2 linked regions of the Lonchura striata genome follow. The protein of the gene in region 1 purifies or fractionates together with the protein of each later gene. This does not show direct contact. Links are inferred from orthologs where the notes say so. Each region holds a gene or a part of one and is shown on either strand. Other genes may lie near its edges. The genes, in order: LSM1 and LSM6.

Region 1 (15,331 bases):
AGGACAGCCCATAAAACACAACATGAAATACATCGAGCTGCTGAGCCTGGGACTGAAGTGAGGGGCAGCCCCAGGCAGCCCCCTACTCCCTGGGCCCCGTTATCTGCCCCAGCAGTGGGACACAGCAGAGCAGCGATAATGCTCAAGGCTGAAATGACATTTCTGGGATGAATTACGGCTTGGAGACCAGCACTCCCAGGAACCTGTGAATTACAGCTGCTTCCTTTGACGTCAGCCCCTGCACCCTCCTGCAGGGAGCCTGACCTTGCTCCCCCATTTCAACAGCTTGGCCCGGGGGGGGTCACCCCCTCACTGTGCCAGCAGCCCGGCCCCAGGGAGCCCTTTGTCTCCCCCAGCCTGTCCCCAGCTTTCCTGAGATGATTTGAGTCCCACCTGCCCTCCAGAAGGGTCCTGCTGCCCCACGGGATGTTCCTCTGTATTGTCAGGGCTGCCATCCTCCACTGTGTGCCAGAAAATACCTCAGGCTCAGGTCAGCAGTGTGGGGTTAGAGGGAGGTGCTGGAGGCATCAGGAGGAGGCAGAAACTGCACCATCCCTTTCCAAAACCTTTACTGGGAATTCCTCTTTGCAGCCATGCTCCCACAGGTGTGATTCCCGGGTGATGCCACAGCTCTCCCCACCTCTGGGCTTCACCCACCTGCTCCCATCTCCCTGCACATGGGGAGAGGGAGACCCAGGAGGGTTTGGAACCCCTGAGTCTCAGCCAGGAGTGTCCAGCCCAGAGCTCTGGCCAAGCACACGCAGAGCAGTGACAGGTCTGGGTGTTTGGGGCCACCAGAGACACCCCAGTGCTGTGCACTGCCCCAGCCCTCCCAGTCCCACCCCAGTGCTGTGCACTGCCCCAGCCCTCGCAGTCCCAGTCCCACCCCAGCTCTCCCAGTCCCATCCCAGTGCAGTCCCCTGCCCCAGGAGCAGGCACACACAGCCCCGGGGAGCCCCAGGCTCTGAGTGATCCAGGGCTGTTTTCCCGGATGGAGCCGCCGCTCCCGGCCTCGGCACAAGGCCACGCAGTTGTTTGTGAGAAGAACCAAAACAAACCGTGCAGAGCCGCCCCTCTGGCTCCGGGCTGGAGGGGCACGACCCCAGCTGTGCCCTCAGGAGGGGACACGGGCACAGCCACACCGTGCTGGTGAGGAAATGCTGCAGGTGGCCACACCCCAAAGCAGGACACAGACCCCAAAAAGCACTCAGAACCCTCAGGGGGATCTGGTTAACTGGGACACCCCAGCCCCCACAGCCCCCTGAGGCACCCCCAGGCTCCTGCACAAAGTCACCACACAGCTCCACTTGCATTCACCTAATAGGGCTTGAAGTACAAACGTTCACAAATGTACAAAACCACAATGATGCCAACCAAAGGCACCGGAGCCGCACCAGGGCCTGGAGGCTGAGGGACCCAAGAGCCCTGAGGGTGCCCTGACCCCCCACCCTGCCCAGCCCAGCCCCCTCCGAGCGCATTCCCCTCTCCCAGCCCGTTCCCACAGCAGGGCTGCAGCAGAGGTGGCTGTCGGGGTGACCCTGTCCCTCCTGCAGCAGCCCGGCCAGGGTGTCCCCCCATCCCAAGGCTGCCTGTGGTGCTATTTGGAGAGCAGAGACAAACCACAGCCCCTGGTGCCACAGAGGTCGACCCGACGCCCTGATAAGATAATGGGCTCAAGAGCAGCAAAGTGAGCCCATGTCCTGACCCCCACCAGCTCCCCACACCCCCAAAGCCCTGGGCTGCAGGGCTGGGACCCCACCACCGGGGCTGGGCAGCCCTTGCCTCCCCCCAGGCATCGCTGCCCTGATCCCCCCTCACCCCAAAACACTGCCAAACAAACAGGGACAGCAAAAACACCCCCAAAGAGCCATCCCCACCTGCCAGAGACTTTCCAGCCACAGGCGCCAGCTCCATAAATGCCTTTTATTAAATTCTGTTAGAACAAGAAATAGCATTTCTTTGTTTAAACTTTTGCTATCCACAACACCCACTCAAGCCCAACGGGGCAGAAATGTTTCCCACCAAAGCAAGTGGTCCCTGGGCCAGTGAGAGGGGGCCAGCAGTGGCCACAACAGCTGTCAGCTCTCCAGGGCAGCTGTGCTCAGCCCCAGCAAGCAGAGCTGTTTGTTCTCTGCCCCCCAGCAGGAACTCTTCACCCAAAGAACTCCCACTGCCCGAGGTTCCACAGGGACTGTGCCTGCCGAGGTTTGCCCTTCCCTGCCCACACCCAGGAGGCTCCTGGGGCCTGGCAGCTGCCCAAAGCCAGCCCCGAGGCCAAGGACTCTCCTCCCCAGGGAGGGCCGGGACACACGGGGCAAAGGACTCTCCAGCCTGGTACAGCTGCAGCAGCTCCCCCAGCAGCGAGGCCAGGAGGGGCTGGAGCTCCAGGCTCTGCCGTGTCCCAGGTGCAGCAGCTCTTCACCAGCAGGTAATTAGTGCTTTCAGCTGGTAATTAGCAGGCTCAGCTGCAGGGGAGTGGCACAGCCTAGCTGGGGGGTACGAGTGGTCTGTGTTGGGGTACGGGGGTACCCAGGTTCTGCTCCCCAGCCCAGAGCAGGATCTTGCCTTGGGCTCCAGTGTTCTCTCAGAGTGAGCCCAGCCCATGGCTGGACCAGGGGGCCTGTCTGTCCCTGCACAGCACACAGAGGGGACAAGAGCTAGCCTGAGGAGTGCTCATCCTGAGAGAGGGGGAACTGCCAGGACCAGAATACCGGAAAGCCATCAATGTCAGGTTCAAGGATTTATTTACATGTCAAGGAAAACTCTCACCCAAAGTCACGTGAGGAGGAAAAAGCAAACAAAGCCAAGGAGCAGTGATTTGCCTCCCAAACACAAATGCTTGCACTCCCAGTGCACTGGGCCCTCCTCATCTCCTTCTCCAGAAGGAGACTAAGGGCATGATTTGTGTGCAGTTACCAGCACCACAGAAAATACAATCTGAAAATGAAACCTGCCTTTCCAAGGCAGTCTGTCCCTGCCCAGGCAGGTCCTGGAGCAGCCCTCGCTCCTTGCAGGAAAGGGCAGCACCTCAGTACTCATCCAGCGTGTCGGCCCGCGGCACCGAGAGGCCCCTCTCCTTCAGCGCCTGCACCTTCAGCTTCTCCGACTCCTGCTTGGCCTGCTGTTCCACCCGCTGCTCCTCCAGGATCTCCTCGATGGACACCTGCTGCAGAGGCGTGTCGCTCTCCTTCTCCAGGTCCTGCAGGAGAAACGAGCCCTCAGCTCTGACAGCGTCCCTGGACCGCAGGGCACCTGTGCCCCCGCGGCAGCCAGCGGTGGGGCTGACAGAGAACAGAGGTGCTGGAAGCGCCCTGAGGGCTGGGGATGTGGGCAGGGATCCCCAGCACAGCCCTGGCAAGGGGCTCCTGGGCACCCCAAAGCAAACAGCGCTCGGCTCCTCCTGAGCCCATCCCAGGTGGTGTCTGCAGGGAGGTAACAGGCAGCCAGCATGACAGCCTCCAGCAGTGCCACACAAGCTGGAGCTTCCCCACAGCTCCCTCTGCGTTGTTCTTCGTTCTGGTGTCATCCCAGAGGGGCTGCGGCAGCAGGAGGCTGCCCTGCCATGCAGGCTGGCATTTCTGTGCTGGCTCAGCCTAAACTGGCCCTGGAGGTGGCTCCGATTCCAGCCCACAACAGCAACCGCATTTCAGAGCTGACAGACAGACAGGCAGACCACAACCCCCCAGCCCGGGCCCAGACTGCAGCGGGAGCCGAGCACTTACAATTTCCCCCAGCAGCACCACATTCTCGCCCCTCACCACGAAGATGCCCCGGGGGATGTCCCCATACTTCTTGCCCACGTGGATGCGCTCTACAGTCTGGTGCAACACCAAGTTTGCTGCAGCAACGAGACAGAGAGAAAAACACCGACGTTCCACGGCGAACTGTGGCCGAGCAGTGTCCCCCGTCCCACCGGAGCAGCACCGGCGCTGGCTCTCCCCTGGCGCTCGGTGCCTGCCCGGAGCCGGGTCACCGAAGCTACCGACACTGTCCCCACCCCGCGGCTCCGAGCCCACCCGGGCCCCCGCAGCACAGAAGATGATGGCGATGGTGGTGCTGCAAGCTCGGGGTGCTGGCCGGAGGATGAACATCACCCGGAGGACGAACATAACATCACCCGGCTGCTTCTCCCCAGAAAGCGACGCCAGAGCGCCAGCACTGGATGCAAGGGCGGGACGGGGAGCTCCCAGGTGTGGGAGAAGGGGTCCAGGGGACAGAGGGGGGGGTTCAACCCCCAGCACAAGCCCACTGGCAAGCAGCGCTCCCTCCTCCTCCTCGCCATCCCCGGCGCTGCCGCGGCCCGGCCGTACCGAACTGGTCGATGCTGCGCAGGTACCCGATGAGCGTCCGCCCGTCCCGCAGCAGCACCAGGTGCTTCTCTGCGGGAAAGGAGAGCGGCGGGTCGGCCACGGCCCCACGGCTCCGGGACCCGCTACGGGGAGAGGGGTCCGGGCGCCGCACGGGGAACCGCGGGCAGGACCCGGGGGCAGGGCAGGCACCGGCGGGCCACGGAGGGGACGGGGCGGGGCGCCCCGGGACACTCACTGTCGATGTCCTGGATCAGGCTGGCCGTGCCGGGCATGTAGTTCATGGTGCCGCCGCGCCCGCAGCGGAAGCGCCGCCATGCGCCGCCGCCGCCGCCGCCCCGGAACCGCCCGCGCGGGCGGGGCCCACCCGCCGCTGCCCTTTTAAGCCGCGCCAGCCGTGCGCGCGGGGCCGCCGCCGATTGGCCGGCGAGGGCGGGGAGCGGCCGCCGATTGGGCGCGGGGCGCGCGGGGGCGTGGCCTTGGCGGCGACCATGGAGCCCCGCACGGCCGGGCCGGGCCCGCCCGCGGCGGCCGCGCAGGTAACGGGGGCGAGGGGCGGGCACGGCCCCGGGAGGGCTCGGCCCCGGGAGGGCACGGCCACCGGGGAGGGCTCGGCCCCGGGAGGGCACGGCCACCGGGGAGGGCACGGCCCCGGGAGGGCACGGCCCCGGGAGGGCACGGCCACCGGGAGGGCACGGCCCCGGGAGGGCTCGGCCACCGGGAGGGCTCGGCCCCGGGAGGGCTCGGCCCCGGGATCGGCACAATTCCCGGGGCGGGCGGCAGCGCTCGGCCCGGCCCTGCCCCGATAACGGGCGCGCAGGGCGGGCCCCGGGAGCCTCCCCCGCCCCGCCGGTTTCTCGCGGAGCCCTCCGGGCGTGTGACGGGGCGGAGAGCAGCGCGGGGAGGCGCTGCCGGCGGAGCCGCCTCACGGGCGCCTGTGCCGTGCGGGGATCCCGGGAACGCGGGGCCCGGAGCGCTTTGCGGAGCGGGAGGGCCCCGGTCACGGGGCTGGGCATTCCCGGATCCGTACCTGCGGCGTTTATGGCAGCTGCGTTTCGGGCTGCCGTGCAAATTCCGTGTGGCGAGAAGGGCTTTGCCCGGCCGGGGCAGGCTCTGCCCTCCAGCCGTGCTTTGGTCTGGTTTGGTTTGGTTTGGTTTTTCTCCAGCCCTTCCATAAATCCCGGCACACAGGCTGCACAGCCTGCGCTCTGGAAGCAGCTCAGGGGCAGAACACTGCTTTGCCCGAAGGTACAGGGAGTCATTCCCCGAGCTCCTGAAAGCCTGTGCTTCACATCCCCTCTGCTGTCAGGTGGAAACTCGAGTTCCCTACACAACATGGGATGGATCCCGGTAAACCCTCGGATGTCCTTGGGTGTGCAGACCTTCCGTACAGAGATGCACATGAGCTGCAGCTCTAGGAGCTCCAGGAGCTGAACACTGGCTGGCAGAGCTCGTCTGTTTGAGAATCAGCAGGGAAATGAACTTTTCTGGAGAGTTTTCCATCCTCCCGTCAGTGATGCAGTACTGGCATAGAATCCTCCAGGAGCTGCTCACTGTGAGGGGCTGCACGCCTCCCCCTGAGCCCAGCTCGGCTGAGCAAGACCTGGTTAAGCTTAGTGCTAGACCTGGTACAGCCAGGTTAGACCAGGAAAGCCTAAAACTGGGGCAGATCACTTGAGGGCAAAGGAACCCCCTGGTTCAATGCAGGAAGGGCCAGACCTTGTTCCTGGAGCACCTCTGCCTGTGTCCATGTCCCGTCACCTTCCCTGTGCTCTTCCCTTGTCCCCAGGCCATGGATTCTCCCTATGCCAACGGAGCCTACAGCCCCCCGTACCCGCACTACGCCAGCCTGCCGCAGGCACGGGGCTTCTACTGCTCGGGGCCCGCGCGCAGCCCCTACCCCCCGGAGCCCGCGGGCCTCTACCGGCCCCCGTCGCCCGCTCCCGCCTGGAGCTACGGCCCCCCGGAGTGTCCCCCCGAGGGCTCGGCCCTCCGCAGGCAGCAGGCCCCCAGCTACTCCCCGCCACAGGTAAGGGCACTGCCAGCGCGGCACGAGTGGTGCCCGGGACGTGTCGTGGGGCTGTGCAGGGGGAAAAGGCTCTGGTGGGCTGGGGGTGCCCGTGGCTCTGGAGTGTCTTGTCCTGCCTGCTTTAATCTTACCAAAACTGGTGGTCACCCTGTTCTTTGGAAACCCTCAGCTTTTGGGCTGGGAAAGTGGGAATTGGGCAGCCAACCTGAGCTGCAGCCGTTCCATCCAGCTCCCAGGGCTGTGTGAGGGAACAGGGCTGGCAGTGATCCCCTGTAATGCCTGTCCAGGTCTGTGTGAGGGGACAGGGCTGGCAATGATCTCCCTGCAATGCCTGTCCCAGCTCCCAGGGCTGTGTGAGGGGACAGGGCTGGCAGTGACCCCCCCCTGCAATGCCCGTCCCAGCTCCCAGGGCAGGCAGTGACCCCCCTGCAATGCCTGTCCAGGTCTGTGTGAGGGGACAGGGCTGGCAGTGACCCCCTGCAATGCCCGTCCCAGCTCCCAGGGCTGTGTGAGGGGACAGGGCTGGCAGTGACCCCCTGTAATGCCTGTCCCAGCTCCCAGGGCTGGCAATGACCCCCTGCAATGCCTGTCCCAGCTCCCAGGGCTGGCAGTGACCCCCCTGCAATGCCCGTCCCAGCTCCCAGGGCTGTGTGAGGGGGCAGGGCTGGCAGTGACCCCTCTGTAACGCCTGTTTCCCTGTCTGTGCAGACCCCAGGAATGCCAGTGCCGCAGTATCCATACGGGGACAGCAGCACAGGGCTCACGGGGCAGGGCCTGGTGCCACAGCCCAGAGCCCTGGAGGACACGTGGGGCCCCCACTCTGGCTATGGGGCGCAGCCTCGCTACGCCTGGCCCGCCTCGGGGCACGGCAGCCTCTACGTCTCGGATTCACACCCATCCTGGACCAGCAGCGGGGCTGCTTCCCACCCTCCCACCTGGGAGTCACAGGGACAGGTGAGGTCCTGTGTGCATGCAGAAGACTTAAATCCCTGGCTGCAATTCCATAAAGTACTGGAAGGACAAGATGTCCTGGGGTGGGTCTTGAAATGGGTCTGACAGGCCAGGTTGGATCAGGGATTAAGTGACTCCATGTTTTTGGTGCCTGGCAGTAGCAGCCCTGTTGGGGGGTTCAGGGCTCAGACTGCTCTGGGCAGGTGCCCCTTGCTGGGCTTTCTCTTTCTGACATGGGAGCAGAGCACAGGTCCCTGTCCCCAGCGTCCCCAGCCCTGTCTGCTGTTTGGCGCAGGATGAGAGCGGAAACCTCCGGGTTGAAGGGAAATGCACTTAGAGATGTTTTCTCCCTCTGTCTGCAGGACTCTGTCTACAGACCTGAGCAAAGCCCCAGCCAGCACAGTTACTATTCTGATGGCAACCAGCGGCTCTCGGGGCCAGTGAACGAGCACAGGGCGGCCAAGCCTGCCCCGTGCCAGCCCCGGGTGCAGTACAGTGCCCAGCCCCAGCTCTATGACCTCGCTGCTCGCAAGCCCATGGCCAGGAGCCAGGAGCTGGGCTTCAAACCTGCTGACCAGCCTGCCACGAGTCCTGCAGCCATGCAGCCGGAGATTCAGAGGATCCTCCACGTGATGGGGGAGGCTGAACAGCTGGAGGAAGAGGTGGACGAATTTGTAGGGAAAAAGACAGATAAATCCTACCGACTGCTGGAGGAGATGTTGACCAAGCTGCTGCTGGAGCTGGATTCCGTTGAGACTGGGGGCCAGGACAGTGTCCGGCAGGCCAGGAAAGAGTCCGTCCACAGAATTCAGGCCATACTGGAAAAACTGGAAAGAAAGGGATTGTGAAAGCACAAGAACCACAACACACAGCCTGTGGTTGAGGTTCCAAAGAGTTCTCTTAAATCTCAGCTCTTTCTGCTACGCACTATTGACAATGGAATAGCAATAAGCCCGGAGTTAACAAATCAAATCAAACCCACCAAAAAGCCAGCCCAGAAGCCCAGCCCCAGCAAACAACTCAGCAAAGGACAGAGAAGAGGTTTGAAGCAGCAAAAGTATTTAATGAGGATGCTGAGGAGAACTGGGCCAAGGATGGGGCCCTGTGGGGTTGTGTACAGAGTTCCCCAGGCCGGGCCCAATCTCTGGGTGCCTCCTACAGCCACAGCCAGTCTTCAAACACTGCTCAGATGTGCTGCAATGTGCAGCCACCAACCAAGACTCTGGGCTTGTCCTCACTGCCTGTAATTTCAGCTTCAGCTCCCTTGCCATAAACCTCATGTGTCCCCATAGGGGTTGTTAGGGTTTGGTGCACTCAAGGAGCAGCACTGAAGTGCTGGAGGGAGGGACTCTGCTGGCACATGTCACGTTGTGCTGTTCCTCCTGTGTGGTGCAGGGCCAGTGTGGGGTGTCCCTGTGGGCATGGGAACAGACTGGAAATCCCAGTTCTGCCACTGGAAAGGAGAAGTGCAAGTCAAGGAAAGAACCAGGGTGCTTGGAAGTGATTTCCAGGTCACTTGGGTCAGAATCCTGTTTCATGTCCCTCTCCATCCTGCGAGTTCTGTGTCCCACTGTGCAGCACCATGGGAAGGGAACAGCTGTCTGTTCCAGCCTCCTGGTTTCCACCTGCACAGCAGCTCAGTGCTATGTGTGACACCTGAGTTTGAAATGTATTTTGTAATTGAGATGTCTCAAAGTCTCTTTTTCTTTGAAGAGAAGTGGTGGGAAGGTTTTGTGACTCCAGGCTGTCTGGAGTGGTGCTGAGGTCAGGGGTGAATGGGATATCTGAGAAGGCTGTTCTGGGGTGCCAGGGTGCCCCATTGCCTCCCAGGCAGTGTAGATGCTCCAGGAGCCTCCAGCTGTGGCTCTAAGGCTGGTGTGGAAGAGGGTCTGGAAGGGATTTAGGATGCCTGGGGCTGGGAAGTGCCCTGGCCATGCTCTGTGTGCTGCCAGTCAGCCGGAGGCAGCTGGCAGATCCCACATTCCCAGACAGGGCTGCGGGCACAGGATGACCTTTGGAGCTCACTGGCTGTGTCCATGACCACGTGTGGTCAGCCTGCACAGCCAGCCACGTCTGGAGCGAGCTGGGAGCCAGCTGGATGTCGTGGGACAGGGAAGGGCTCAGCTGCTGCTGCATTTTGTGTCGGGCAGGGAGCAGCCAGGCTGAGCTGTTCTGTGCTTCCAGCCTGGCCAGTGCCTCCTGGGGCCCATGGCTGTACTGGGAGGTCAGTAACTCACAGCACTCAGAGCGTGCTGCCCTGCCACTGTGCTGGTGAGCCTCCATGAGTGCCCCCCCTTCCCCCATCAGCTGAACCCATCCAGGTAGGATATTCCTCAACAATATTGCTTGTCCCTGCCTCCTTGGTAGAGGGTTACGTAAATCCCCAGAGAAAAGCCCATGAGAGAACATGAAGAAGTGGGCTGAAATGGCAGGTTATCATTGCAGGGCGTGGGGATCCCACAGCGCCATGGCACGGCGTGGCTGCCTGGGACACTCCAGTATCCCTGGCTGGGTTTCATGTGTTTCCCCCAAAACTGGGCTGTGATCAGGGATCAGGCACACATCCCACACCTCAGCCTGCAGGAAACTCTGCTGTAACCCATCCCTACCTGCTGCCTCCTCCACACAGGACCAGTGTGTCACAGCTGGGCCGGATGATCCGAGTGGAGACGGTCTGACACGGGCAGGAGCTGTGTCAGCACCCGCTGCTGCAGGCTCTGCATGGGCCCCAGCTGCAGAACTGGGGAACTGAGCACTCCCAACCCTCCTGTCTTCCTCATCAATCCCTGCTGTGCCACGGTGAGCACTGCGATAGCAGCTCCTGGCAACTGGTTTATCTTGCAGCATCCACTTGCAGCATCCACCCACATCACAACCCCCAAATTAAAAAGTCTGTCTCTATCACTGGGCTCATCTCTACAGAAACCAGACTCTTACTCTGGGGTTGCCCGTTGCTTCTCCAGCAGTGCTGGAGTTTCTCAATCACCACAGAGGCTAAAGTGTCACAGAGGGACTGAAAAACAAACATTAAATCAGCACCGCGTGGTTTCTGCTGCAATCACCCCATGCTGGAGTGTTTGTTCCTGCCGCAGCTGGCACGGGGGTGGGTATTTCCCCTCACCCCAGTGCCCCGCAGCCAGCTCTGGGCCAGCATCACCCCCACCCGGGCCACTGCCGAGGGCAGGGAACGGGGGCAGGGAACGGGCAGGAACACGGACAGGGGTCACAGGGAGGGAGCAGGGGCAGGGAACGGGCAGGAACATGGACAGGGATAAGGGGCAGGGAACAGGAGTCACAGGGAGGGAGCAGGGGCAGGGAACGGGCAGGGAACAGGGACAGGGAACAGGGGTCACAGGGAGGGAGCAGGGGCAGGGAATGGACAGGAACATGGACAGGGATAAGGGACAGGGAACAGGAGTCACAGGGAGGGAGCAGGGGCAGGGAACATGGACAGGGAACAGGGGCAGGGAACAGGGGTCACAGAGAGGGAGCAGGGGCAGGGAACACGGGCAGGAACACGCACAGGGAGCAGGGGCGGGGAACATGGACAAGGGACAGGGTCAGGAACACGGGCAGGGGTCATAGGCAGGGAGCAGGGGCAGGGAATGAGCCCGAACACGGACAGGGAACAGGGTTCACAGGCAGGGATGACAGGCAAAGGTCCCGGGCAGGGATCAGTGGCAGGGATAACAGGCAGGGATGACAGGCAAAGGTCCCGGGCAGAGATCGCGGGCAAGGAACAGGGGCAGGGATCAGTGGCAGGGATAACAGGCAGGGATGACAGGCAAAGGTCCCGGGCAGGGATCAGTGGCAGGGATAACAGGCAGGGATGACAGGCAAAGGTCCCGGGCAGGGATCGCGGCAGCAATCGCTGGGCTGCGGGGAGGGGTTGAGGGCAGAGGCTGCGGGCGGGGATCAGGGGCAGGGTTGCGGAGCTCCCGCGGGCACTGCGGGCAATGCCCGCTCCGCCCCGGCCGTGACGGCGGGGGCGGGCCGCGGGCAGCACCGCCCCGGGCTGGGCGGTCGCGGGGCCGGAGCGGAGCCTGCGCTGCCAGCCGGGCCGCAGCGGCGGCCGCCGGGCAGCGGGGCCGGGGCCGCTCGGGCCGCTCGCGGCGCAGGGCGCGGAGCCGCCGGTGCGGCGGAGCGGGCGCGGCCCGCGGCAGCCCCATGGCGGCGCAGGAGCCGCCGCGGCCGCCCCCGGCCGGCGCCGAGCCCGCGGAGCCGGAGCCCGGCGGGCGGTACGAGGCCGTGGCGCCGCACTGGTTCTACCGGCGGGTGCCCGAGGCGCGGGAGCGCTGGCTGCCGTTCAGCGCGCAGGACTCGCAGCGGCTGGAGGAGGCGCACGGCGCAGGTAGGGCGGCACCGGCCGGGCCCCGGCACCGCCGCTGTCCTGCCTTCCCGTCCCGCGGCCCCGCTCCCGAGCCACCCCGGGCAGTGGGCCTGCTCGGCTTGGCGGGGGAGCTTCAGCTGTGTGCTTGGATACCAGGGAAAAAGTCCCTGGACACGCACATGGCTTCCACCTGGGATGCTAGGTTTTCCCTGGAGGAGTTTTAATTTGGGACTTTTTTTGGCCATGTGCCTGCTCCCAATAACTGAGCTGTTCGGATGCATCAAATGGTCTGACCCCATTCAACTGATAGTGCTCTAAATTATATATAATCATACTGCAAAGCATCCTCTGGTGAGGCGGGGAGAACGCTGCCAGGATGGCAGGAATTCCAGTGGGAGAATCCCCACAGCACAGAGCTGTGCCTGCTATGAGAGCAAGGATTGGAGGTCAGCTCCAAGCCCTGTGCTGAGGCCCTTGTGTGCCAAATGTCACCATCTGTGCCACCTGCTGCTGCCACAGGCAGAGCTCCGATTGCCCAAGGATCGGCTGCCATCCTCCCTCGCCCAGGAATTTTCAGATTAGAGGCTGTGCTGCCCATCCCCGGTGCTGCTGCCCGGCCCAGCCTGGCACGGGGTGCTGTGCCACCAGCCCAGCCCACAGGCAGCGAAATTCACAGTTTGAGGTCTGTATTGGGGTCTGTAGAGAGTTCTCTGTTTCGGAGAGGAACACCTGAAAGACAGGAGACCCTGGTGCACCCCCACTGTTACACAATGCACTTAACAGGGCCTCAGTTTCGCTTTTACCCTCCTGGCCAGGCAGGGAGAGGCCACGTAAGCATGTGCCTGAGCTGGAGAGAAGGACAGGTGTAGTGTAAAGTTTTCATCTTCTGCCTCTGGGGGAAGCCTGACGTGGGGTGTCTCACCCGACAGCGCTCTCTGAACTCGGGTACAGAGGACGTTGGCATCTGCTGCCACGGTGGCTCTGAGCTGCCCGGCCGTGGTGCTGCAGCCTCCGGGAACTTGGCATTCCAGGCCTGCCAGGATTGACTGCAGGCCCTGTTCCCACAGGGAAGGACCAGGATGGCGTGGTGGTCCCCACCTCGGGGGGCAGGTACGACGTGCACCTGCGGGCGCGGCAGCGCGTGGCCGTGTACTGGGAGGAGGAGGCGGCCGAAGTGCGGCGCTGCACCTGGTTCTACAAGGGGGACAAGGACAACAAGTTCATTCCCTACTCGGAGTCCTTCAGTGAGGAACTGGAGGTAAGCACACCTTTCTGTTGGTTTCCATCTCAGCTTCTCCTCGTCACACACTGCCTGTGATGTCCCAAACCCCGTACAAGGCCACAGGCAGGCCTGAGGACGTGAACTCCAAAGAGGCTTTGGCACGGCATTCCTGCAGCTGATTGATGTAACTGTGAGCTCTGCCGTGGCCTCCCCTTCCCCTGCCCTCGTCCGGCCTCGGTGCATCCTTCCACCACACCTGAAAGTGCCAGGCTTTCCTTTGGGATGACGCAAATGTAGAGATGTATAGGCAGACGTATAAAAATACCCATCTTTGCCATATCTCTATTCTGATGTACCAAAACCAGTTCTAAGGGGATGGGGAAGTCTGATGCTGCTGCTGGCAAAGCGGGGAGCTCTTAAACACTCTCAGCAGGTGATCCTGGGATGACCCTGCTGCTCCTCCAGCTGATTTCTCTGCTTCTTTTGCGGAGTACTGATAAGAGAGTCTGAAAATTGGGTGGGGAATGTCCCAAGAGGTTGAACATTGATGGGCACACTTCCAGCTGACTCACAGTGGGTGTTCTCTTCTGTAGGAAGCCTACATGATTGCCGTGACCCTGGGTGAGTGGAAGAAGAAGCTGGAGTCCCCCAACAGAGAAGTCATTATCCTGCACAACCCAAAGGTGAGCAGGGCTGGGTGGTCTCTGTGGTGACCAGTCAGGACCCTTGGGTTTCTTTGTGCTGCTCCCTTCAAATGGGTTTGTCCCAGAGCCATTCCACTCACCTGCCTGCGCCAGAGGAGAGGGCAGTGTCAGCTGAGCCTGCCAACGGCTTCACATTTCTTTCCAGCACCTCTGTGGACAAAGGGCAGGGCCCAGCACAGTCTGATACCACGCCGTGTCACTCGGCAGCTGCTGTGGCTGTCCTGCTCCTGGGTCACTGACAGGCTCTTCTTGTTCCCAAGCTGATGGTTCAGTACTCTGCTGTGGCTGTCCTGCTCCTGGGTCACTGACAGGCTCTTCTTGTTCCCAAGCTGATGGTTCAGTACTCTGCTGTGGCTGTCCTGCTCCCGGGTCACTGACAGGCTCTTCTTGTTCCCAAGCTGATGGTTCAGTACTCTGCTGTGGCTGTCCTGCTCCCAGGTCACTGACAGGCTCTTCTTGTTCCCAAGCTGATGGTTCACTACCATCCCGTTGCCAGCTCTGACGACTGGGTCTCCACCCCCACGGAACAAGGCCGGCCCCGGACGGTGAAGAGAGGAGTGGACAACATCGCTGTGGAGATCCCCAGTGGTGAGCCTGCTTCTCCCCTCACCCATCCAAAACCCTGCAGAGCTTTCCAGCCTGATCACTCACAAGGAAGCTCCCGTGATCCTTTAAGTGAAATGCACCTCAAAACATTTTGTGCCAAAAGGATCCAAATGGTTTCAGAAACCTCCCCAGCCCCAGCGAGCTGCAGAGCCAGGGGAGGGTGGTGAGCTTCCAGCTCCTGTGCAGAGACAGAGCTCCGGGGGCTCTGTGCTGCCTGAAATGACCCCTGAGGTCTCGATTTGTACAGGAGGGGAGTTTCTTTCCCTGCTGGGAACACAGTGGTTGGTCACTTACCTTTGTGCTGGTGACTCTCTGGGGCACATGCTGTCCCCATCTCTGCAGCCAAGTGTCAGCTCTGTCCCTCCCAGCTGCCCTGAGCTCCCAGTCAGGCCTCAGGACCTGTCCCCATGAGGACATCAGGCAGTTGCTCCATTTTCCAAGGGTGCCCTCAGGAAGGCACATATGCAATCTGAGGTGTGTGGGAAGTAGAGAACAAGCCCTGACTCCACCTGGGGCCTGCCTGGGAGATGCAGCTCCATGGGGTTCATCAGAGTGGGCTGGGCAGGGGGCAGCTGCTCTGGGACCTCCCAATCCTGCACCTCCCTGTGAACACGCCACCACCCCTTCCTCTGCTGTCCTGTTGGTCCAGATCCATCCCAGGGCAGCTGAACTGAACAGAACTAAGAAATGTGAGAAATCCCAGCAGCCTTGAGGTGTAAATCAGGCACTAAGGAGGCTTTTCATGGGCTGAGGTGAGGGTGGGAGGCTCCTGCCCTGCACAGGGGTGCCTCCAGCAGCTCTGGTCCCTGCTGGGCGCTGTCTCCTCAGCAGCCTGCCTCCCCTCCTCAGGAGAGCCGCTGCAGATCGACCACCTGGTGTTCGTGGTGCACGGCATCGGCCCCGCCTGCGACATCCGCTTCCGCAGCATCGTGCAGTGCGGTAGGTGCCGAGCTGGGGGAGCCTCACCTGGGCCCAAACCATCAGCACGCTGCCTCAGACCACCCCAGCCCCAGCAGGGCTGCCTCAGACCACCCCAGCCCCGGCAGGGCTGCCTCAGACCATCCCAGCCCCGGCAGGGCTGCCTCAGACCACCCCAGCCCCGGCAGGGCTGCCTCAGACCACCCCAGACCCAGCAGGGCTGCCTCAGACCACCCCAGACCCAGCAGGGCTGCCTCAGACCAT
Region 2 (15,425 bases), on another chromosome or scaffold:
ATACTCTAATGCACTCCTTATTTCTGGCTAGACAGATGGAATATAGAGATGGTACCAGGTTGAGGGGGCAGTGGATGGGAGAAAGAAGAAACTGGCTGGAGAGGACACTTGTGGCATGTTTATAAAAGCTTTCAGATTCCTAGTGTATTTTCAGAAGTAGATTTAGGTATTAGTTATAATTGCTTTATACTGAAGAAGTCCATTGTGTTTGGTAGAGAAGCACAAGTAAAAGGTCACCCCAAGCAGAGGAAGGGTGGGGGGTACACAGGCAGGAGGTGAAGTAGCTACTAGGCTGTACTGACATACCAACTGAGAGCTCTTCACCTCGGACTGACTTCCTCAGCTGGCACAGAGCTTTCTTTTCACCCTTAAGGCTTTTCTTCCATTTGATTCAATTCTTTCCCCACCCCTAACTGTTGAAGTGTCACTGTTACATTCCTTGATTCAATCCACAATTCAAGGTTTTTTGGACAGCTGAACTTTGTAGCTGATGACTCTTACTAGCCTGGCATTTAAAGCTGACCCCATGTTTTCCAAAAGGGACAGGTCACTGTCACCAAACCATTAGCATTTCCTGTCCCACCATCAGTTAAACCACTGTTTTGCCATCAATACAGGCCTCTGATTTACAATTACTCCATGCCTGCTTACCTTCCAGTCAGTATTTTTGTAACTGTTAGCATAATTAAATGAGCTGTTGCTTCAAATTAGTCTTGCAGCACTATTACATGCTCCTCTTTTATTCCTTTTCTGTACAAGGGAACAAAGCAATGCTTTGAAACAAAAGCATTGAGGCAGTTTACACTCATGTTTACATTTATTAAAAAAAATACTTATACACTTGTGTATTTCACCTGTGGATTTTGAACTACAAATCAAGTAGGGCTCATCACTTCAAAGAGGTTCACAAGTACAAAAAAACAGCCTCCTTCTGGCATCTTCACATCCTCCTCTTCTGGGTGCTTATGTACAACACTGTGAAAAAGAGAAAGTGGCACACAGAGGAGGGCCCTGGTAAATAACAAGCATAAGCCTTTTTATTTAAAACATCTTATTTCCATGGCATATAAATTGACACTGTAAGAGATCCCATTCAGCATGAACAAAGCCAGGCCACCTTTAACTCCAGGTTTCAAAAAATGCCAGTAGCTCTAAACATTATGTATTACTTTGGTTCAGTATTTATTTTATTCATAGCCCAACTATGCTCCAGCAGATGTAGGCTGAACAGAGCAGGACCAAAGGCAGTGCCCTGCAGTGTTACTGAGGAGAGCGTGAGAGAGTTCCTCAGCAGCAGAATTACAGATGTCAGACACTAATGCTGGGATCTTTCAAAAAAAGCTGGAAATCCCAAGCACTTAAGGCAAAACGAATGATTAGTTATAAAGGAAGAGACATCTTCCTCCTGCTTGGCTGATGGCATCCCCAAAACAGATCCAGTCACAACATAAAATGATATTGTGTCCTCCTAAACCTGCCACATGTCTTCAGTTCTCTGTTCAGCCTGTTCTTGAGCCTTCTGCCTCTCATCCACTTGTTTTAACTTTCATAACAGATTATTTCCTTAATGGATTCTCTAGCTGAAATGTCACTCCAGTTCTTAGCATAATAGTCCAAATGCCTTGCCAAAAACAAGGGCTGGAGGATTATTTTTCCACCCAAAATGCTCTTTTACACTGGTACCACATTCTCTTTGACTCTTTTTCTAACATGGGATTCAGCCCTTGTGTCTTTTGATTCCATCCCTTCTTGCTGAGCTCCATTTTCTTCACAAGCAACTTGGTCAAACTCTGCTTCATTTACCTCATCTACAAGTCTCTTCACCTCCAACTTGTGAACCTTTTCTATTTTTAGATACTCTCCTTCCTGGCATGTCCTGCTATTACAACCTGATACCAGAGAGTCATTTCAGGAGCCTGGGATTGTTCTTGAAGTGCACTAGAATCCACCTACTGCACTTGGATATCCAAAGGCTCCATACTAGAACATGAGTGATTTTTTTGACTGGTGGTAAAATCTTTACTCAAAAGATTAAAATAGCCTCCAGGACTAAGGATAAGCATTCATTCAGTCCTGGAAAACTGCTTCACCAGAAAATATTTGTGTCACTATAATATCTGCATTGTAGCATGAACTTATGCAGTAGCTTGCCTACATACCACAAACTCTTATGGTGCAGAGGTCATCTAAGCAAGGAGTAAGTGCAAGAGAGTAAGGAAGTCACAGAGTAGAAAATAAGCTCCAAGAAAGCTAGAAAAGAGCATGCTGCTCTAAATGAACTTCAAGTTCAGAAGAAAAAACAACCACAGGAATGCAGAAAAGCAGAGACCCTGGAAAGTGAAACTGTAAAATGCAAATATTGTAAAGATTTCGAAGAAAGAATATTAGTTTAGGCTTACAGGCAGCTTACTTACACCTCAGCCATCCCTCAAATTCAGAATATCATAACACAATTTCTAACGTGCAGTAACAGGAGTAGGAATTACCATTATTTCCTCGGATAAATGCATCCCCGTACTTGTTCTTTAACTGTCCATTTACATATTCCTCAGTCTGCTCCAGAGCTATGTTCATATATCCATCCAGGCAAGCCAGGACACCTGAAAAGAGTGGCAGTTTAAGAGAGAATCAGCTTGAACTTATTTTAAGATAAACAAAAATGCTTTGTGTTTGAATAGTACAGGAAAAAAGCCTACCCTGTATCCTTATAACAAACTAAAAACCCAAGCATGGAGAGATGTCTTCAAAGAATTCAGCTGGGAGAAAGGAATCCCATTATCTCCGGTAGCAAAGTTATCAGTTGGTGTAAGAGTTGTGGGAGTAAAGAAGTTATTAAGGCATTATTTCAAAAGATGGACAATTTCCATTTTGAAAGTTTAAGCTGTCCTTTCTCACTTGTGTTTTAAGCACAAACCAAAAAAAAACACCTGTGGCATTAAGTGTAACAGGATAACCTAAGGACAAAGCTATGTAAACTGGTTGTCAACAAAACTTGTGAAGGATATAGCTGAAAAACAACCCTTTTAATACAGGACAGCAGACACATATTTGTCTTCATGCTTACAGAGCTAGGAGAACACTGCAAGTCTGCTTTGATGTCAACAAAACTCTACACATTTTTCAACAAAGGCCACTGAAATATTCAAAATAAATTATTCTGTTTTGATAATGCAATTAAAGGAAAAAATATGTCATTTGTAATATTAGACAATTTTCTGGATCAGGAATATATGCATTTTAGGAGGACAGAGGTAATACAGCTTTTTACAAGTTGTTTCATCTTCCTCTTGCATGTGGGTTTTTCTGTCTTTATCCTTGCACAGGATAAATAACTTTTTACTTAAATAACTTTTTCCTCTGTTTGAAAAACACCTAGCTATTTACCTGGCAGTAAGACATGAAATATAGTGTATTAGCTGTACTTAAGAAGAGGGAGAAAACTCAGGACATATTCTAATTTTTCAGAAGTGTTACTGCAGGATCGTCTAGTTAATAATCAGGAATTCAACTTCTTTACCAACTTGTCATGGCTTAAAGGTTATTATTTTCCTTTCTGTTTTTCTCTCCTCTGTTTCCACAGACAGGAAAAACTGCTCACAAAGTGCCACTAAATGCAGCAAGAAGACCAAAACCAAAGTCAGGATTCTTTTCCACTCCAGTAATCCTAAGGGATCCACATAGCACAGGATGCAAAAATATGTTTGTACAAAATTAAAACTGGACCATGTGGATTTACCTGAGCTACATACAACTTAGTAGGCCATAAATGCAGTATTTTCAAACTCTTTTGCTTCGAGAGTGCATTCATGGTTGTTTCATTCTCTTCCTCCTTTTCTTTTTGTTTACTCTTACATCACTAATGGCATCAAATATTATCACTGCCCATCCTGGCTAGCAATTTATCTCTTTCATCTGTATGTAGAGATGTTTTAATGTACATATCCATATTGACACACAGAACCATACATTAATATACCCCTGATCGCTTCTCAGGGCTTCCTGTCTTGGACATTTGCAGCACCTGGCAATGGCTGAAGACAGTTCAGTTACACATCAACACTTGCATGAGGTGTGTGTGTGTGGGGCCTCCGAGGGTGGAGGCAACAAAAGCATCAGCAACACAGTCTGGGGAAGAATCTGGACAGATCTGCAACAACAGCCCGAGATGCTGTTTTGTAAATATTTGGCTTTTACAAATGCTGGTCACATTTCTCCAGAAAACAAACTAAGTGCATATTTTTCAGATGAAAACACTACACAGATTTTCTGTCACAAGATCAAAGGAGTGCAGGGAAAGAAGGAAGGGAAGGACAGGAAAAATCCAGTAACAAATAAGGGTGTTCAAGGAACTCTTATTCAATTAATGTGATGTGGTGTCACACAGTAGGCACATTAAACTAGCTTTGCTGAGGGGTAAGTTGGGTCGTTAATCTACAGCATTTACAAAAGGATCTTACCAAGGGAGAGGTAGCAATGGTCTCAATGAAAATAGGAAGTGCAGCAAAACCCAAATCTGGTTTGGCCTTGCCTTCTGTGTACCCTCAGGTAAATGAGGACTTGCTTTAATTGACTTTAATGAGCTCTCTCTACATTCTCCTGCACTAAAGAATTTACAGAGAGGCAGCAAACTTCTTAAGCCCTCAAACCCACCTGAAGTACTCAGACAATGTGGTTCTCAAAAAAATGAGAGACTGAAAATTTTGCCAGCTGATTGACACCGCAGAGAAACAGGAAGGAGTAAGATGCCACTGCTTGCTCAGTCAATGAACAGTAACAATTTAATATTGTCCTAGCACAAAGATTCCTCGTCAGAGCACGAACAAGTCTCTTCACACAAGTGCCAATGTAAGCCACTTGAGGTAAACCTCTCTGAAGAAGGGGTCTTTTGCAGAACCATAAAGTTTAAGTCATTACAGAATAAAATTTCTTAACTGAGCACAGCAGAAGATACATGATTAGGTCTGACTGAGTTCGGATACTGCTAAAAAAATTGGTCAGAGTGATCCCGTTATCTTAATGGGAGCAGGACCAGAACATTTCATTGCACAGAGTTTTAATTTACTGGTTAAAAAAAAAATCTATAATTCTATATACATGAAGGTATACTGATAGATTGAAGAAATCAGGAATAAAACTGATGGGCTGTGTTAAAATGAAGCTTGCAAAAACTACACTAAACCTTTTCCTGTATCTCTGTGAGCCTTGGTCCAGCACAGGTCCAGGCAGTTGTTTAACCAAGAATGTCAATAATGCTTTCATCCCTCATGTAAGAATTCTGTTGTGACTGACAGCATGGTTTACTCTGAAGTTTTCCTGGATCAAGATCTGTATTAACTAAATAGAGAAAAAAAAAGTTGAAGAAAAGCCTAGTACATAGTTCCAACAAGGAGTGTTCCTGGCCATTTCAGGAGTTGTAATTCCAGACAATCTTTCCAAGTATCAGCTTAGAAACTCAAAATCATCCAGTTTACCCACCTGTGACCAATGACACTAATAACTTAGATCAGTAATTTTAACCTCTAAATCCACTGTTGTTACCCCCTCTTTTTAACACTTTCTCCGGAGTTGTTTTTCTATTTTGCCATCACCATTCTGAGATATCTATCCTCATACTCCATGATTCTGGATCACACTGCCTTTCTTTTCCAAATCAATGCATCTATTCCAGCCTCCTCAATGAACTACTTTACTCACTGTGAGAGACAGATAGAGAACTTACCTCGATAATCAACTCCAGAATTTAATTTTACAACAACTGGCCTTCCAATGATTTGTTTTAGGAAGTCACTGGGGGTTTGCTTCCGTAGACTCATCGTGATCTTCTCTGGTAAGCTAAGAAGTGAAAACATTAGGATAAGAGACATGCCTCCACATTGTTTTAAATACTCTGTACAGACAAGCAGACCCCTGATTTGTAATACTTTCCATAAGAGAAAGAGATTAAAGCAAAACTCTAAAGGTTGAGGTGGGGAGACAGAGCTCCTAAAGCCATTGCATTCCACTTTCCCTTCGGCATTTTTACTCCTTCTGAAAGCATTACTAAGAATCTTTGTTTGCCACACTGTGCAGCTTTTAAATTTCAACAGTGCCAAAGGCCAGAGACAGAAAACCCGCACGGTGCCGGCTTCATTTCGCTGCTTCCTGGGGCAAATCCAGCCGTGAACCCGGGGATCCAGTTTCCCTACCGACACCCACCGCCGCCAGCGATGCTGGCGCCCAGGGCTGCGCCCCCTTCCCGGACCGCACACGCGTCTGGAGCCGCTGCCCCCGGGTGGAACCCTCGCGTTCCAGCCCGGCCGGAGAGCGCGGCTCCACGGCAAGCCAGCCCGGGGGCGCAGGCGGCCCGTGACAAACCAGCCCGGGGGCGCAGGCGGCCCGTGACAAGCCAGCCCGGGGGCGCAGGCGGCCCGTGACAAGCCAGCCCGGAGCACACACACGGCCCCGGCCGGGCCCGCACTCACCGCCGCCACCGCCTCTCCCGGCGCTTCCCGCGCCCCGCCCCGCCCCGCCCCGCTACGGCGGCCGGGCGGGACGGCCCGCGCGGGTCGAAGGCGGGACGGGCCGGGCGCGCCCTCAGGGGTCTGGCCCCACCCCGCGGTCTGGCGGGGGGAGTCCCGGCCCCTTCAGGGCGGTGAGGGGTTTTTATGGCTTGATTGGGATTCCGCGCGAAATAACACCCCATCGGAGAGAAATCTTGCAGTGTGGAAGGTTTACAGGGTGTCTTGTGGGAAAAAGCCCCGCAGGATCAGTGAAGTTGGGAAAGGCCTCAGAGACCAGCGAGTCCAAGCGCTGCCCAGCTGAGGGCCGCTTCCAGGCTTTGCTTTCCAGTCTCCTCCAGGAATGGTGACCCCACCATCTCCCTGAGCAGCCCATTCCAATGTCGAATCACCCCTTCCATGAAGGAATTCTTCCTGATACCCAATACGGTACTCATTATTATATTCTATTCTAATGAGACCCTGCTAATTCTCAAATGATCTTGTCCTTATCAGAGACATAGTGAGCACCTCACAGGGATCTGTCCAGGACCAGCCAGGGAAGTGCTGAAGGTCATTTCACAGAGGAATCAGTGAACACAGATAAGTTTTGTTTTTTTTTTTAAGTCACCTGGGAATAACTTGGCATACGAAGAAACTGAACTCACCTTCTACTCTTCTGCTTCTCCCCATCATCTCACTTGTTTTTCCTCCTTTCTCGCAGCTATCCCCTGATGTCTGGAAAATACTTCAAATACTTATTTTTTCTTTCTTTTTTTTTTTTTTTTTTTTTTTTTTTTTACGATTTCATACTATGACAAGAGTTAATAATCTGTGAAAGCTTCTGGACTGCTTTGTTTTGTTGGGTTTTTTATCTGTCCTGTATTGATTTAGTATCTTGTCAAACCTCTCAATTCTCATGATACAAAGAAAATGTACCATGGCTTTTCAGAACACAGATTTGTATTCTCACTTCTTTCTGGAGTTGTTTATCTTCTCTTTTTGAACATGTGTCCAGTAACAATTTTTTCTCCAATGCTTAGACTAAAAGGCTTTTAAGAGGCAAGAGCTGCAAACCTGACCTTATTCACCTGCCTGTCCCAGAGTTCAAGCACAGGCAGGGACAGGGAAGTTTGGCCACACTGTGCTTGTGTTTCCAGGCAACCGTCATGTTAATCAGGAGCATCCAACTGTGCTTGATTATATCTAGTATTTGAAGCAGAAAAGGAACATAAAATAGTTACTCCAGGGAGCAGACTTGCAAAGTTTTATTTGGCTTCCTGGCTTCAGTGAGTAATGCTTTGATAAGGGAATATTTCTGTTTTCATTGTTATTAATCTCCAGTATAAAGATTTGGCAAATAAAGCTTTCATGTCTGGGCTGGTAAATTTTCATGGCAATTTTGCAAATCCAACCAGGGACACCTTGTTTTGTAAGCCTTCCTCTTTGTTTTATTTCTTACAAGTTTGCCTTCAGAGCTTTTATGGGGTTTTTTGAGCCATCAGAAACTGATGAGCTGTTTTGCTTTCTGCTCAATAGGCTGCTTTCTAGCTAGCTGAGGCTTACACTTAATTACAGTTTCTACCTGTGTGGATACCTTGATTGTCTGCTGTCAGTCAACAAAATCAGTGTACTTTCCTGCTTCACAGCCTGTGAACCTCACAAACAAACACATCAGATTTGAATCCTGGGCATTGAGACTGGTGAGTTCTGTATCCTTAGCTCCTTTCTTCCACAGTTTGAGACCAAGTCATGAACCTAAATCTTGGGTAATTTTCCTTGGTGTGCCAGAGGTCTCAAAGTGCTGTCTCATGTGCTGTTCCTAGAGGTAAATTAGTCTTAAATGGAATCCTTAAGGTTCCAAATCTCCAAAAGTGAAAATAAAATTCAGATGTCATTGGCTGATGATTATCTTTTGTTTGTTTGTCCTCTAGATGAAAAAGTATTTTTATCTAAAATGTTGCATACCTGGATGTCAGTAGATTGTTTTAAATACTGCATTGCTTTATCCTTTCCTAATGTACCATGGTAGAGCTTTTTCAGCTGTGTAACTCATGGAAATCAGCGAGATGCTGCCCTTGTGTTTTAATCAAGATGAACTTGAAAGGTGAACATTGTAAGTGATAGAAATTATTTATAATTTGGTAATAAAAGTTTATGTCTAGCACTCCAAATTTCACACATCTGCTATGTGCTGGCCTTGAGATAAAGAACAATTGCAATTGCCTTTACATTTGGCCTCAGATGAAAGGTCATAAATTACGATGATAGAGTTCTTAGTCGTTCCCAGCTCACAAAATTTCCATATTAACATCTTCACCTCAAACATAAATGGTTACGTAGTTACAAAGTAAAGAGTTGTATTGGCCTTTGTCAACTGAACTTTAAGATGGAAGTCTGTGGATCTATTGCTAACTCTTAAACACAAAGCCTCACAGAATCCTTGTTCAGAGGACCTAATTAAAACTTTACCGTTAACTTTAAAAATTAAATGGGATTTCACTTTCACTCATGCTCTCTCTCTTCTCTCTCCTAGCAATAAAACCCACTTTAAAGTTAGGAAGATTTTTCTCTCCCAGCTACTTGAAATAAAAGCATTTTCAGAGTGAGATGGCTACAGAACACAGAATGGGTCAGAAGGAGCCTTTTCCTGTGAATTGCACATCGTTTATATAAGTTAAGTGCAGATCAACAACAATCCAGATGACAAAAGAATGTCTGTAGCCCATTTTGAATTCAACCTAACAATCCCCAGCTACACCCAGTGGATGAATAAAAGCCTCAATCTTTAAACAGTTCTCACCTGAAACTTTTGTCAGAGAGGACAAATCCATTCTGGCCCAAATCACAGCATATCACATGATTTTAACAATTAACTTCAGTGTCTTCTTAGGTTCGAAAAAGAGGAAATAATTTTTTTTTAAGTTATGTAATAAAGTAATAGACAAGATCAAGTTCCAAATCCAGGGGAGCATTTCTTGTTCTCTGACGGGAGGTAGAAGGAGGTATCAGCCTCCATGAAATAGTGTTGATATGGAGAAACTCTGCAATTCAAGATTAGCATTGATATTGCAGGGTTTCTTGAGGGCCCTGAAGTAAACATGACAGTACATTTTTGGGATTTGAGAGGTGGAAGGCAAAATTCTGCTCTCACTAAAGCCAGCAGAAGTTTTGCTAATTACTCCTCCATTACTTAGGATACATTTGTGAGTTACTGAAAATACAGCTGAGGTCTCAAAACCTTCCTTCTGGAGCTGTGTTCTTTCACTGTGATTTATGCTTCTTAGAACTGTCTTCTTCTGATGTTCTGAGTGTGAGGAATAAGACATTAAGGAAGTGAAGGGTGCATGAAGAAGCAAGAGAAAGAAAGGAAGTATTGGGACCTTCTTCCCTTTCCTCCTCTGCAAACTTCCTGGTGGACAAGGAACTGTCAGCAGTTCTTCCAGGGAGCTGGGGAGAACAATGTTAGAACTCAGAGGCTTTCTCTCTGTCTCCTACACTTTCAGTTCCGTCAAAAGGAAAGGAAGAGCCTCAGAAGCTTTCAGAGTTCACTTAACCCCCTCCGAGTTCCTGGGAGTGCTTTGCTTCCCAAGGGCCCGGCTTTTTAATGAGTATTAAGAGGTCTGATATTCCCCTTTGGATGCATTTGGATGGGAGAGTTCAAGCCTCCCAGCATGTGAATGATTGTATGTGCCTATACAGTAAAACTTCAAAGATGTTTTTCTCCATAAACAGAGGCTTAGTTATCCAGCATTATTTCCCATGATGTGCTAGGATCATCAGAACTAATAATTTCCTTCCATGTTCTCAACTAAAAAGTTAATATATTTTTGAATGGAACCTTACTCAAAGTAGTATTGGGTTTGACCTATAGATTTTAGATAGAAGAGCCTAACAAAATTCTGTCATCTTCAACTTCTTATACTGTGCTCACCCCCTTGGGATGTTCATCTCCTCCTATATGGCTTAAGTGACATGATGACCTTTTGTCACATATTTGTCTTTCCTAGTTTCTGTCCAGTTAAAATATACTGTGACAGATCATGTCAGGTTTGTGTTTTCTATTAAACAAAGGCTGGAAGCCCTTCTTGATTTCTTTTCGCACCACTTAGCTAGATTTTTTTTCTAAAATATGATAGAGTTGGAGCAAAGCCTTTTGTGCTTAGACTCTATAGAATATTCACATCAGGGTAAAGACACACTCTAAATATTTTGCTTGTGGAGTATCAATTCCAGATTACATTCAAATGTAAGCTTCCCCACATGCAGTTTGATGAAGCTGATTCAGTACTTCAGGTTGAAAACTCTGATATCAAGTTTAAGCAAAAAAAGGGGTTGAAGTGGTAACTTTAAACTCACCTGCTGGTGCAAAACATTTGCAAAGTTGGTTCCCAGCTCCCTAGAAATGCTTCTGATGCAGACTTGGGGATATGAAGTAAGCATGAGTCAGATGTGTAGTGTGGTAATAACGATATATACCTTGTCCTGATTTTCAATGGAAAAGGAAGGTTAAAGTGTGTTCAGCCACCTTAAACATGTAGAATTATGGGGATTATGTTATCATCACCACTTACTAACAGGAGAGCTCAATAACTTTAAAAATAAAATGCAATTTAATGTCAATGTTAGGCCACTCCTAGAGCATTTGTGAGCTGGTATTTTTCAATAGGCCCAAATTTCTGGCTATTGACTAAAAAGTCATTATTTTGTGAAGGGAATGAAAGAGAATGCAATTCTTTTGTAATATAACAACAAAATCAAAAGGGAAGATTAGAAGGCTGTATCTATATGAAATAAATGGTTTTGCTAGGAAAATAATAATAGCATAAAGTTTCATGTTAAGTCAAAAGTTATTTTTTCACAGAATACATTATACAACTCTCTTGTCTTTTTAACTGTAATATAAATTCAATGTATACACTAGTGAAAGTAACGATTCTATCTATAAATAGAGATCTGTCAATCTGGTATGACTGCCTGTGACCCAGTCCTCGGGGTCTGCAGTTTCTGAAGTAGTATAACCTCAAACACACTGTTCAGATCTGATTCCCCGGTGTTCACACATGCCAGAAAATATTCCTCTATACTTTTTTCTTGTCTGGTTTTACAAGAAAAAGTATATTCCTGGAAAAATTACATAAAACAATATTGATGGTTAGGTACTAACTCTTCCGGATCTGCAATAGCAGGTTTGGAGAAATGCTATCTTCTAAGAGAGGGGAATGATGTGGGCAACTGACTCACTGTTCCACAGTGTGGTTCACACCTTTCAGGCAAAACTGCCATCTGTGCCATCAGTGCAGCTCCATCTCTCCAAGGAATTGTAGGAGCTTTAGGGCAAAAAACAACAACCATCTTTTCTCACTCACCTGATCCTACCTGGAAAATTGAGAGGGAAGTAGCATAAAGTGCCTGTAGCCATCCAGACCACCTGGCATTAGAAATCTCACTCTTGCTGCTGCTGCTGGACCTGCATGGATGTTGGAAACAGTGGAGAATTCTACAAAAGCACTCAGCATAGACAGGGTTTGTGACAGTGGAACTGCAAAGGTTCAAAAGCCCCTTGTGAGCAGAAGACAGATGATACAGAAGCCTGATCAGTCCTTGCAGGCTTTTGAAGCCAGGAAGGTGTTGGCAACATTGCTGTAAAACGGGTTATAAATCCTTATGACTTGGATCGTTAAAGAACTACAGCTCTCATTACTCTCTCTGCAGGGACTTCATGCTACAAAGAGGAAGAAAATCCTCTCTGCTTCCAGGAGAAAGTAGAAGGTGAAGAAGCACACTGCATTCACATGTTTTTTCTTTGGTTCTTGTTCCATTTTGCTGCCAGCTCCATTGAGTGGCACATGTTTTTGGTTTCCTCCATGATGTGTGCAATCCTCTGATCTTACCTCATCAGATCATGTCCCAACTGTGTCACCTCTTCAGCTACTACATTTTTCCTATGCATTCACCTGCCTCATCCAAATAATTTCCTTTCTTTTTTTTTTTCTTTTTCTGTTTTTATTTTGTTGGGCTTTTTTTCCCCACCATGGCTTTTGCCCGCTTGTCTTCTTGGGATTGACATTACCAATTGATTTCATATAATGCACATTGGACAGCCTAAATATAAATTCCTGTCTCTGGATGTAGAGTTTGGACATTAAAATCAATGCTTGGGAGGTGAAAGGCTTCATTGCCCATAAATAACTCTTAAAATGCTCATTTTGGCTCCTCAGAGTATCAACAATGGAGGATATCATTTGAAAGATGAAATGTGAAAATACACATGCTATGCTCACATGCTTAAGTTTCCTCAGCTGGAAGGAATTCTGGTGGAAATGGGAAATAACAATGAATTTGTGTTTTTGCACAAAATGGATAAGGTGATTTTTAATTTTTTGTTGTAATAATAAAGAAATATCTGTGATAATTTATCCCATTGTTGAATTATGAATAATAAATTAATAACCACATGCTGTGTAAACACCTCAGAGTTACACCAACAAACAGTGCAAATTTCCAGTTTGAAGTTTGGAAATGAGCAAGTCAAGCGTGGGACAGGTTAGTCCAGAGAGGGAGGATCTGCTTTCACTTCTGCTGCTGAGCTACTCTCAAATGTTGAGGCAGCTCATCTCACCTCTCTGTGTCTCACCCTCTCCTCTGTAAAACAGCAAGAATGATATATCTAAAGTGCTTTCAGATCAATGGATGAAAAGTTTATGTAGTAGGAAGGTATTATTAAGATCTTAATGATGCCATGGGAGAAAATGATCAATAATTATTTATATTTTCCTTTGCTGTTTAGGAGGTATTTTTCTACTGACTGTATTTTCTACAGTCAAGTGCATAACAGCTGCGTCTTGCAGAACATACAAGTCTTTTTGTATCTGTATTATATAAAGATGGAAAACAGGTTAAATTCTAGTATGTCATTTCTCTCAAAGCTGGAGGGCCGAAGTCAAAGAAAAATCTAATGATTTACTGCATGAACAAATGCTATGATTAGCTATGCATTACTATATTCTACAGGACTGTATAAGCATGCTTTACTCATCCTATATTTTAAGATTGAATATTTTTAGGAATTCAGATAAAAAAGATTGCTTTCAAAAATTGCCCCACATCAAGTAACCTATGTTTAAGGAATTGTGTATTTATTTTTAAAGTAACCTCATTACTACCAAACTACTTCTTCCTTTTGACAGTAAAGCAGAGTGCTTATCTTCCATATTTTCATAATGAAAGCTCCCAAGCACAGGATACTGTGGCAGATTTACAGCCTTCGAGCAGCAGAACTGACAGGCATTTTAATATGAAAGGAGATATGGTGTCTTTAATGTACAGTGATGTCACTTCTAACAAGGTAGAAGTGTGCATTTTGCACTGAAATCACTGTAAGAAGTGAAACCTGTCTGCTTCAGGAGTCACCTTTTAACCTAGGAAAATGTCACAAATAATAGAAAAAAGACAGGACTCTGCTTACTCAGGTGGAAGGGCACTCTGACGTTGGAGGAGCAAGGCTATTGTGGATGTGCATTATCTCCAGGAAGCTGAAGCTACAAATAGTCTAGCTCGAGCTAACCTTGAGAACAGAAAAGGAAAGGATAATGAAAATCCTCAAGGGAGTGTTAAACTGAAAGCCAGATTGCCTGTTGACCACCCTTTTTCCTTTTATCCAGCATTGATTGGACCTAATAACTTGAAAGTGATATTGACAGCAATATAGTCCACATATAACCTGGACACATGATTATTTCATTGAGAGAAAGGATAGGAACCCAGTACCAAAAACCTATTTCATTCTACATTAGACCAGAGAATTTACTACTTTGTCTAGGAAATATTTGCCAGTGATTTTAAAGGCTGATTTAAAATGTGCATTTCTTAAATGTACTCCCAGTTCCTGACTGAAAGCTTTTATCATGTCATTCTCAAGACGCACCATTCTTAAACATCATATACAAGAACATAAGATTAAAAGGCCATAAAATGGCAAGAAATCTCAAGGTCCAATAAGTACATTGTGCTAGCATTAGGCTGGTGACTTTGATTAAAGACAGGAAATTAAAATACGTTGTCACATATATAGAGACAGTATCTCCTGAAGACAGTTGCTTCCTCCAAACTAAAATTTCAGAAAATCAACTTTAGATATTATGTCCTTTGGTGTTTTGGCAGTTCGATCTTGAAGGGATTGCAATAAGGAGGAAAAGAGCAGCATAAGAAGTAATTATATTGTTTTCTATTATCTTTGCAGAAATCTTGATTTTAAATGAAACTGGTTTTCCAGAGCCTCTCAACCATCATGTTCTCCTAACCAGGGTGCTGGGGCACAGAAACAGCGACAGTCAGGTAAGGTAAAACAAGGAGGAAATCACAGCTTTGAACAGTTAGTACAGTGTTATCCCCAACATGATGCATTCACGTCAATACAGCTGTGTATCTCTGTGTCCTGCAAAATCAGAAATGATGATTGACCTCATGAGGATGCTTGTAATATCCCACTGCTAGCCCTTCTGTTCTTTTGAATTTAATTTTTATAGATTAGTATATTTTTAGGAGTGATGTGATTGGTTTTCATTTACTTTGAAACAATGGTCTCCCTTCCTCCCTCTTCAAAATGGAAGAGAAATTGCAAATTCAAGTTTACATATAGAAACAATCAAGTCACATTTCAGTAGAAAATGTCAGAAAAACTGACGGTAGCAGTGAATTGTTCTCCCCATTTTAAGCCTGTTATTCCAACAGCAAAGGTACCTTTTGAAGGTAAGTCGTGTGTATGCTTAGAGTTATGATAATATTTCAATTATATTATCCAGAAAGTAAAAATACTGGGAAATGAGATACAATGTGATACTGCTGTAGATCCATAGATCCCTATAAAAATAAATCTGGTGTCAGTAATGTAAGGTAATGGTTTGAAAGGCCCTGCAATAACTTTTAAAGGTCCTGTGTCTGGAGAGG

What was found.
Region 2: the proteins of LSM1 (region 1) and LSM6 purify together in Homo sapiens (co-immunoprecipitation; 3 studies listed by BioGRID and IntAct, counting the BioPlex papers as one, with this or other methods). This does not show direct contact. The link is inferred for Lonchura striata from reciprocal best matches to the Homo sapiens genes LSM1 and LSM6.

Annotation. Positions count from the first base shown.
Region 1 is NC_134634.1:4,382,625-4,397,955, forward strand, and holds LSM1 (U6 snRNA-associated Sm-like protein LSm1), read right to left. Parts: upstream 4,659-15,331; 5' UTR 4,592-4,658; coding exon 4,546-4,591; intron 4,380-4,545; coding exon 4,311-4,379; intron 3,839-4,310; coding exon 3,723-3,838; intron 3,200-3,722; coding exon 3,029-3,199; 3' UTR 1,910-3,028; downstream 1-1,909. Other genes in the region: BAG4 (BAG family molecular chaperone regulator 4), read left to right, coding at 4,799-4,846, 6,097-6,336, 7,045-7,290, 7,650-8,135; triacylglycerol hydrolase DDHD2, read left to right, coding at 11,455-11,638, 12,685-12,875, 13,433-13,522, 14,011-14,131, 14,999-15,088. UniProt on the Homo sapiens protein: Plays a role in the degradation of histone mRNAs, the only eukaryotic mRNAs that are not polyadenylated. Probably also part of an LSm subunits-containing complex involved in the general process of mRNA degradation.
Region 2 is NC_134606.1:62,306,534-62,321,958, reverse strand, and holds LSM6 (U6 snRNA-associated Sm-like protein LSm6), read right to left. Parts: upstream 6,498-15,425; 5' UTR 6,462-6,497; intron 5,833-6,461; 5' UTR 5,814-5,832; coding exon 5,720-5,813; intron 2,601-5,719; coding exon 2,487-2,600; intron 976-2,486; coding exon 941-975; 3' UTR 799-940; downstream 1-798. UniProt on the Homo sapiens protein: Plays a role in pre-mRNA splicing as component of the U4/U6-U5 tri-snRNP complex that is involved in spliceosome assembly, and as component of the precatalytic spliceosome (spliceosome B complex).